2 linked regions of the Canis lupus familiaris genome follow. The protein of the gene in region 2 purifies or fractionates together with the protein of the main gene of each other region. This does not show direct contact. Links are inferred from orthologs where the notes say so. Each region holds a gene or a part of one and is shown on either strand. Other genes may lie near its edges.

Region 1 (4,273 bases), on a different chromosome or scaffold from region 2:
AGGACACAGGGAGCGGGGTGCTGCAGTGGTCCTTGTGAGCAACGCTGGTCACATAAGGATGATAGCAGTGGGGATGGTAGAAGAAGGGGTCACACGCCATATATGGTGTCATCTGGGGAAAATAGAGGTGTCCCTATAGACTCGGATACAGCAGTGGGGCTAAGGACGTTGGCACAGAGATGCAGTGGGAGTTCAGGGCTGGGGTTGGAGTTTGAGAGAAGGTACATGTGTGTACCAGTTCTCTCCCTAGAAAGAGAGAATGAAGGAGGGGTGAGAACTGAGCTGGTGTGCGACGGGGAGACCATGGGCAGGCAGTGGGGGCTGTGGGGTAAAGGGAGATTTAGAGAATTGTAGAGCATGTGTCCTGTTGACATGGCCACAGGGCCCATGAAGAGCCTCCTGGAGAGAAAGGCGCTGTGCGTCAGGAGGGCCCTCTACTTTAGCCTCCTCCTATGGGGGGGTGTGGGGAGCTATCCAGGGGAGGGGAAGAGAAGGGAGGAATTTGCCATTTCGGATTGTGGAATGGTGAATACCTGCAAGCGAATAGGAAGAACAGAACTACAGGTAGTGGGATGTTTGTGATCCTGAATTAAAAGCGGCTGGTCAGCCTGCTGACCATCCCTCCCCTGCCCGGCCCACGTGTTCATGGGGGGGCGGCGGTCGCTCCAGGAGCAGGGCCTCCCAGATGCCCACCCCAGGTCCCGCCCGCCCGGACCCTCGGCGGCGCCCCACCCTGGCCGGCTGCAGCCCGAAGCCTGGACTCGGAGCCGCCATCGGGGGCTGTGTCTCGGGGTGTGTGGAGCAGGAGCGCGGTGCGGAAGGGGCGCACGGAGAACCTGCGGCTCCTAGAGCTGGGCCCGGGCGTGTCCCGGAGCCCTGACCCGGCCCCACGCAGGTCGCCGGGCGGCCAGGGAGGACCCGACGTGCCCGGCTGCAGGCTGGCACCCAGAGCCCCGAGGTCGGGACCCTGGAGTCCTCTCCCCGCGGCCTGGGGGCTCAGGCTTTCCGCAGGAGCAGGTCCCCAGCGGGAGCACAGGGGCAGGCCGAGGAGGGACAGGCGGGGCGGGCGGCCAGGACAGCCAGGGCGGCGGGCTGGGAGCAGGGTCTGGAGGGGCGAGCCCTCGGGTGGGCGGGGCCTTCCCGGTGGACGGGGCCTCCCGGTGGGCGGAGCCAGCGGCGGGTCCGGCGGGGCCTCCCGTGTGGGCGGGCCCTTCCCGGTGGGCGGGGCCCGGGCTGGGCGCGGCGCGGGCTCGGCCCTCGGCGGGGAAGCTCCCTTAGCGCTCCGGCCCGCAGCGGCGGCTTCTGAGGGGCGGGCGGGCTCCACCCCCGCGGGCCGGGCGCCGGCGCCTCGGATTCCGGGAGCTGGGTGGGGCCCGAGGCGGCGGCCGGCCGCTCAGCTCCCGCTGGGCGTCTGGGCGCAGGGCCAGGGCGGGCGGGGAGCGGCGGCGGCGGCGGCGGCGGCGGCTCTCTCGGAGGGCGGCGGCCTGGGCCGGACGAGCCATGGCGGCCCCGGAGCCAGCGCCCAGGCGGGGCCGGGAGCGGGAGCGGGAGGATGAGAGCGAGGACGAGAGCGACATCCTGGAGGAGAGCCCGTGCGGCCGCTGGCAGAAGCGGCGGGAGCAGGTGGGCCGGGGCGGGGCGGGGGGCGCGGGGGCGCGGGGTCACGGCCCACCTCGCCGAGGGGCGCGGGAGGCCACGCCGGGCCGGGGGCGCCGGGCAAGGAACCTGCCCCCTGGTTAGCGGCCCTTGGACCCCTTTGGCCTGTTCCCACGCTCTCTGGGGGAACCCCAGTTCCCTAAGGTCCACCTCCTTATGCCTCTGCACCAGACCGGCCGCTGGCCCCGTGAAGACCCTCCTGAATCCCCCGGAATCTGCTCCGCGTCCCCAAGCCCAGCCCCCGGAGACCACTGCTGCCCCAGCTTCCCCGGGGGGCCAGGGCCAGCACTCAGCTCGCTCTCCCCTCCAAGGAGTGGGCAGAGACAAGCCCCCACTCTGCTGCCCGACACCCATCACACTCACATCCATCCCCTCCCCCCCAGGTGAACCAGGGGAACATGCCCGGGGTCCAGAGCACCTTCCTGGCCATGGACACAGAGGAGGGGGTGGAGGTGGTGTGGAACGAGTTGCACTTCGCCGACAGGAAGGCCTTCGCAGCCCATGAGGTGAGGCCTGCCCACCCTCGAGCGGCTGTGCCCCCCTCCCTTCTCCCCCGTGACCCCACTCCCCTTCCCAGGAGAAGATCCAGACCATGTTTGAGCAGCTGGTGCTGGTCGACCACCCCAACATTGTCAAGCTGCACAAGTACTGGCTGGATGCCTCAGACGCCTGGGCGCGGGTGAGCCACGGCTCGTCCCAGCACCCGCACACGGAGGGTGGGGTGGGGCCCAGCTGGGGTGGGGGTGGGAGGGACCCACCTGCAGTTGGCGGAGCCCACCCGCCCCGCAGGTCATCTTCATCACGGAGTATGTGTCGTCGGGCAGCCTCAAGCAATTCCTCAAAAAGACCAAGAAAAACCACAAGGCCATGAACGCTCGGGTATGGGGAGTGGGCTGGGACTGCATCAGGGATGTGGGTGAGGGGCAGCTCGGGGAACGGGCTGGGGCCAGTCGGGTGGGAGGTGGGGGTGCAGGGTGGGCACCACAGGCCCAGCCACCTCTCCGCATCCGTCCAATGAAGTCCATCCGCCACCAGGCCTGGAAGCGCTGGTGCACACAGATCCTGTCTGCACTCAGGTGAGGGCCTGGCCTGGTCTCTGCCACCCCCCATGCCCTCGGTGCCCCCGCCCTGATTACACCTGCTCTCCTTTCCCCCTGCAGCTTTCTACATGCCTGCAGCCCCCCCATCATCCACGGGAACCTGACCAGCGATACTATCTTCATACAGCACAACGGCCTCATCAAGATTGGCTCCGGTGCTGGCGGGGTTAGGGGGGGCTGGCGGGGGAGGGGGGCTGCGGGAACCCCTGGGCAGAGGACATCCAGTGCCCCATCACATTGACGCCTACTCTTTCTCCCTGTGGTGGCCGGTGCAGTGTGGCACCGCATCTTCTCCAACGGTGCGTGGGGTCTCAGGGGGTTGGGGGGGCATGGAGAGGTGCAGTCTGCTCATCCTCTGCGCTTTCCACAGCACTCCCAGACGACCTCCGAAGCCCTATACGTGCGGAGCGTGAGGAACTACGGAACCTGCATTTCTTCCCCCCAGAGTACGGCGGTGAGTCCTGGGTCCAGGAGCTCCTGGTGTCACCACATCTTCCCTATCCACTGTGACTTGCCCTCCCCCCTGCAGAGGTTGCCGATGGCACTGCTGTGGACATCTTCTCCTTTGGGATGTGTGCGCTGGAGGTACTAGCCCCGGGGCCTCATGGCCTCCCAGATAGCTCACCCTGCATCTCACCGTGCTGTCTCTTCTCCGTGCCTGACCTGGCCCTGCCTCCCAGATGGCTGTGCTGGAGATCCAAGCCAACGGGGACACCCGGGTCACGGAAGAGGCCATCACTCGTGCCAGGCACTCACTAAGTGACCCCAACATGCGGGTAAGCAGCTTGCCTCACTCCTCCCAACTGGTTCTCAAGGGTTCCATGTGGGGCCATTGTGGTGTTTGGGTCAGGCCTGGAGGTGCAGCCGTCCGTGCCGCTGAGGGGGACGCCAGTCCCACTGCACAAAGGCCTACCTGCGAGGAGGGTCTTTCCTCATGGTGTGTGTTGAGTTTCAGGCCTGAAGGCTCTAAGGGTCCTTCTAAGGAGGGAGAGACTAGACAGATACTCCCTCTGTGAGCCTATTGTTCTGCTGGTTCTGGAGACAGGAAAGAGGCTCCGAGAGGCTCGAGCCCACATCCCTGCCTTGAACCCTCCAGGAAACCAGCTAGAAGCCACGTGACTTATGTTGGGGGCCAGAAAAGGGAGTGTGGAGTGGAAGCCGTGTCCATAGTCTCTCTAGACTATCTGGCTTGACCACATGGCCTCTAGAGATCAGGGTCAGAAGTGATGGGGCCAGGATGGGGCTGGGATGGGACCCGTGAGGCACAAAGCCGGCAAGGCAGCGGAGGATGCAGATGCGTATGTGGGGCAGGGTGGGGCCCCATCAGGGTCATCCCCGGAGTTGGGCCTGAGCTGAGGTGCAATCTGGGGCTGCAGGGCAGGGGCTGGTGTCCCCCACCAGGCAGAGCAGACCTCATCTGTGAACTGCAGATGACGACACCTACTCCCTGTGGTTTTTGTGAGGGTTATGGGAAGTAGAGCATGGAAAGTTCTGGGCCTCGGGCCTGACTGTCCTAC
Region 2 (4,226 bases):
AGGGGGCGCAGCATGAGATATGTGAGTTTGAGGCCAGGAGGGGGTGGGGGTAGCCGGTCCTGACCGGTCCTGACAGGGCCCAGACATCCAGTCCCAGGTTATTTTTATACTGTGGTTTGTGCCCAAGGCCAGGAAGGGGGAAAAGTTCTCATCCTCACACTCCCTGCCCTCGCTCCTGAAGTCCAAGGTGTTATTTTCTCCTTCAGGACAGACACATCCATCCCCCACATCCCTGGCGGCCCACCCTCACCCCAGGGACCCAGGCATCCTGCCCCCCAGCCCAGACTTGTTCCTCTTTTGGAGACAGGAAGCAGAAAGACCAGAGGATTTAACTCTTTCTCCACTGCTTCCTGCCTCTCTCCCACTCCCTGGTGGCCACCCCCAGTTATCAATCATGGAGAGGCCTAGATGCAGGGGAGCGGAGACAGGGGCCTGAGGGCAGAAAGGACACACCGCCAAGCCCTCCATCCCACCTAGTTCATCACGTCCTTGGAGAAATTTGACTTGGGACAAAGCTGCAGATGGGGCTGGGATGAGTGGCTAATAAGAAGACAGACCGTCACCTTTGGAATGGTGCGTGGTGCGGCCAGGGAGACTTTCTTTTTACCCCTCCCCACCAACCTGGACAGCTCCTCTCCCAGAGGCCCAAGCACCTACCCCCATCTGGGACCTCCATCCCCCATGCCTGAAGCCAGAAGGGGTGAAACCAAGACAGAAGGTGAGGGCCAAAGTGTGAAGCCGACATCTCTGTGATGGCGAGACAGCACTAAGCTATAAGGAAACAGAGATGGAGGCCAAAGGTAACAAAGGCTTAGAGAAAGAAAGAAGGTGCAGGATATAGGGGAAGAGGGAGCCTGAGAAAGAAAACAAGGCTGCATGAAGAGGAGGATGGACTACTTCCCAGGAAGAGGGCAAGAAGAGAAAAGAGGGACAGACACGTGTTGTTGGAATGGGGAGAGGGTGGTAAGGAGGTGGAGGCAGGGAGGCCCAAGCTGGAGGTTAGGCCCAGGCCCAGATGAACAAGCACCACCCCTCAGGTGTCTCCCTGACCCCAGAACCCAGCTCTTACCTGCCCCATCTCCTCTGGAGCAACCAACTCCATCCTCAGCCGCAGGGCTCCATCCTTTGATCGGGATAGTGGAGGGGTCCCTGTTGCTGAGCCCCCAGCCTCCACTTCCACCCTCAGGGAGGGCAGGGGCGTGGCAGCCCGGGAGGGGCCGGCGCTATCCCCTGTCCTGGGCTCTGGGGGACGCTGCTGGGGTGGGGAGGCTGACAGAGGGGGTGTCTCCACCTTGGCTTTACCAGGTACTGCCAGCTGGCCCAGCCCCCGGGTTAAGGAGCGGGCCTGAGGTCCAGGGGAGGTAGGGGGCGGCCGGAGCCAGGAGGTGGGGCCCTGAGACAGGCCTGGCTGCGGGGTTGGGGCACCCAGGCCCAAGCTGGCCAGCTCCAACCTGGAATCCAAAGATCGGCCCCCAGTGCCCCCCGAGGCCCCTCGAACTCCTTCCAGGAGCCGGCTGAAGCCAGGGGTCTCCAGGTCTCTCTCGTAAACATCCACACACGTCCAACGGCCTCGACGATAAGGCTCTCCCAGGCCATGGGGCAGCTTTACCACCCGGAAACGGGAGGCGGGGGCCCCAGGTGGTGGGGAGCCGTTCCGGGGGGTGCTTTTGCCCCCTGGCTCGGGGCTGGGCTCCCCGTTAGGCAGACGGGGTGGGGGCGCGGTGGGGCCCGGCAGGGCAGGGGGCTCTGAAGACCCTGGGCTCCCTGGGCCCTCATAGTCCGTGGTGACGCTGGTGATTTGAAAACTACTCTTCTTCTTGCCCCCACTCATGGTCCCTGGGGCTCAGGACTCGGCCAAGGTGGGCAGGGGGTGCAGCTGGGGCTCCTCCAGGGGCTCAGGCACCCCTGGAACAGGGGGGCCACATGGCGGGGGCATCAGGGCCCCTGGGGACATCTGGGTCCGACATGGCAGGAGGGCTTTGCAGGAACTGGGGGTACTTGGCTGGTAAAGGGAGCACAGGGCAGGGGAGGTGGCAGGAGGTGGGGGCAGGGGCAGGGGCAGGTTTTTCCTGCCCCTGGCGCTGCCCAACTCCAGAGCTGAGTTTGCAAACTGGAAAGAGAGAGAGAGAGAGAGAGAGTGTGTGTGTGTGTGTGTGTGTGTGAGAAAGCAGTGGGCAGGCCACCTCTGGGGCTTCCTCTCTGGGGAGCAGGATGGGGGAGGAAGGGGAAACCACCAGAGACCCAGAGACAAAGAGACTGGCAGAGACGATTGAGACCAGGAGATCCCAGCGGTCCCACAGAGTAGGAAGGGGCGGCCCAGACCAAAGTTGGGCATTTCTTGCCTGGGATTCAGACTCACAGGACCGAGTCGCCCGACAGCAGGAGGGGGCTCCAGGGCCTTGGACGAGCAGGGGTGAAGCAGCTCCTCGGTCGGCCCCGCCGCCGGGAGGCCTCTGCCGAGTGTCCAGGCTGCCCGCACCCCAGCTCCCCGATCCCGGGCAGGCCCTGCCCCGCTGCCCCAGCGCCCCGCCCAGCCAGCCCAGAGCCCTACCTCTCGGCCTCGGCCACCGAGCTGGGCCGGGGGTCCCGGAGCCTACGATGTCGGGCTGTCCTTCCCGCGGGGGGCGCGGCGGCGATCAGGGGCTGTCCGCTTCTCTTCGGGGGCCGCACTTCGCCCCGCAAGGCATCTTCGTAAAAAGTTTGCTCGCCAGAAAAGAAGGGACCCCCGCCTCCTTGGTGGAGCCCAGGCGCGGCCTCCGAAGCCCCAAGGGTCCCGGGACTGGTGAGGGAAGAGGCGGCTCTGCCCCCACCCCGATCCTCCAGGTGGAGCCGCCTAGGTGGCTGGGGCGAGCAGGTCTCTCAAATCTCCTCCGCGTGGAACCGCTGGGTCTCTCTCCGCTCCTCGGCTCTTCTCTCCGGTCTCTCTGCCTTTCTCTTTCTGGGCTGTTGACAACCCCCACACCAGGAAGTCCTGCCTCCTCGGGCCTGCTGACTGCTCCTCTCCTCCTCCTCCTTCCCCTCTTCCTCCCCTTCCTCCGCCCTCTCTGCCTCCTGGGGCTCCCGGCCAGCTGGCCCGGGGCCAGGCCTGCCACCACCTCTGCTGCCACTGCTGCTGCTGTTCCTGCCCCCCCCCCCCGCCCCCCCCGCAACAGGCTTAACCCCACACCTGCTGGGCCCCAATCCTGCGTTTCCTCGGAGGGAGGGGCCGTGGAGGGCAGAGAGAAAAGGGGAGGAGTTTGCCGGGGGGCCAGGGATTCCCTTACTTGTAGGCACTTGCTGCCATTGGCCTACGGAGAGAGCAAGAACTTGCCAACCAGGGGCTCTGCTGGGTGCCCGCCACCCCATAAGCTGCTGCTCAGCTCTTGCCATATCTTCACTGGTGTTCACAGTAACTCTATGAGGAAGGTTCCGTTATTCTTTCCTGTCTTTATTTTAAAACGTGGATTATGATGACAATTTGCAAATGGGCCCCCAAGTAGAGAAAAATGATAAACTCCCAAGTCCCCATCGTGCAGTTTCAACAATGATCAGCTCACAACCAACCTGGGTTCTTCTATACTCCCAATACCTCTTGTTGTGCTGTGCTGGAGTATTTTTAAAAATCCCAGGCACCATATTATCCCTCTTCTTAGATGTGGATATTGAGACCCGGAAGGTTCCGAGAGGCTGTCAGTGGTACAGCTGGAACATTCTACACACTCAGGTGTGCCCTTGTCTGGCCCCTATATAAAGAAACAAAGAGATGTACTCAGAAATGTGCTGACTTGCACTTTCTCTCCAACCCTGGTCACACACACATGTATACATAATGTACACACAGATGCACCTGAGGACAAGCCCTACCCGCCCACCTCTCCCATCCCATCCCTTCTTTGCTATTGGAGAAGCCACACACACACACACACACACACACACACACGAAGGCCTTACCGAATTACCCAATGCCTGGAATGAAAAAATAACCCTCTGATGGCCACTTTCTCTTTTATGGCACCCTCAACCAACAATCTGAGCAAGAGCAGGGTTGAAAAGCCACATCTGCCTTCACTCCTAGCTTTGGAAGGAATTGGATTCTAATTAATTTTGGTCAGATGGAAGTATTCTTGAGCATATTGAAAATTTCTCATATTTGCCTGCTTTATATAGTTATTTCATGGACTATAAACAGTCGGGGGCAGAGATGGGGTAGGTTTTGAGCTTCAGCGTTTCCGCGGGAGGAAACAGAG

What was found.
Region 1: the proteins of TSC22D4 (region 2) and NRBP2 purify together in Homo sapiens (affinity purification with mass spectrometry; 3 studies listed by BioGRID and IntAct, counting the BioPlex papers as one, with this or other methods). This does not show direct contact. The link is inferred for Canis lupus familiaris from reciprocal best matches to the Homo sapiens genes TSC22D4 and NRBP2.

What each region holds. Positions count from the first base shown.
Region 1 is NC_049234.1:38,139,898-38,144,170, reverse strand, and holds the start of NRBP2 (nuclear receptor-binding protein 2), read left to right. Parts: upstream 1-1,452; 5' UTR 1,453-1,500; coding exon 1,501-1,623; intron 1,624-2,039; coding exon 2,040-2,162; intron 2,163-2,233; coding exon 2,234-2,335; intron 2,336-2,445; coding exon 2,446-2,535; intron 2,536-2,676; coding exon 2,677-2,732; intron 2,733-2,816; coding exon 2,817-2,911; intron 2,912-3,031; coding exon 3,032-3,055; intron 3,056-3,126; coding exon 3,127-3,210; intron 3,211-3,285; coding exon 3,286-3,341; intron 3,342-3,436; coding exon 3,437-3,532; intron 3,533-4,273. UniProt on the Homo sapiens protein: May regulate apoptosis of neural progenitor cells during their differentiation.
Region 2 is NC_049227.1:9,141,507-9,145,732, reverse strand, and holds the start of TSC22D4 (TSC22 domain family protein 4), read right to left. Parts: upstream 2,913-4,226; 5' UTR 2,552-2,912; intron 2,111-2,551; 5' UTR 1,832-2,110; coding exon 1,070-1,831; intron 1-1,069.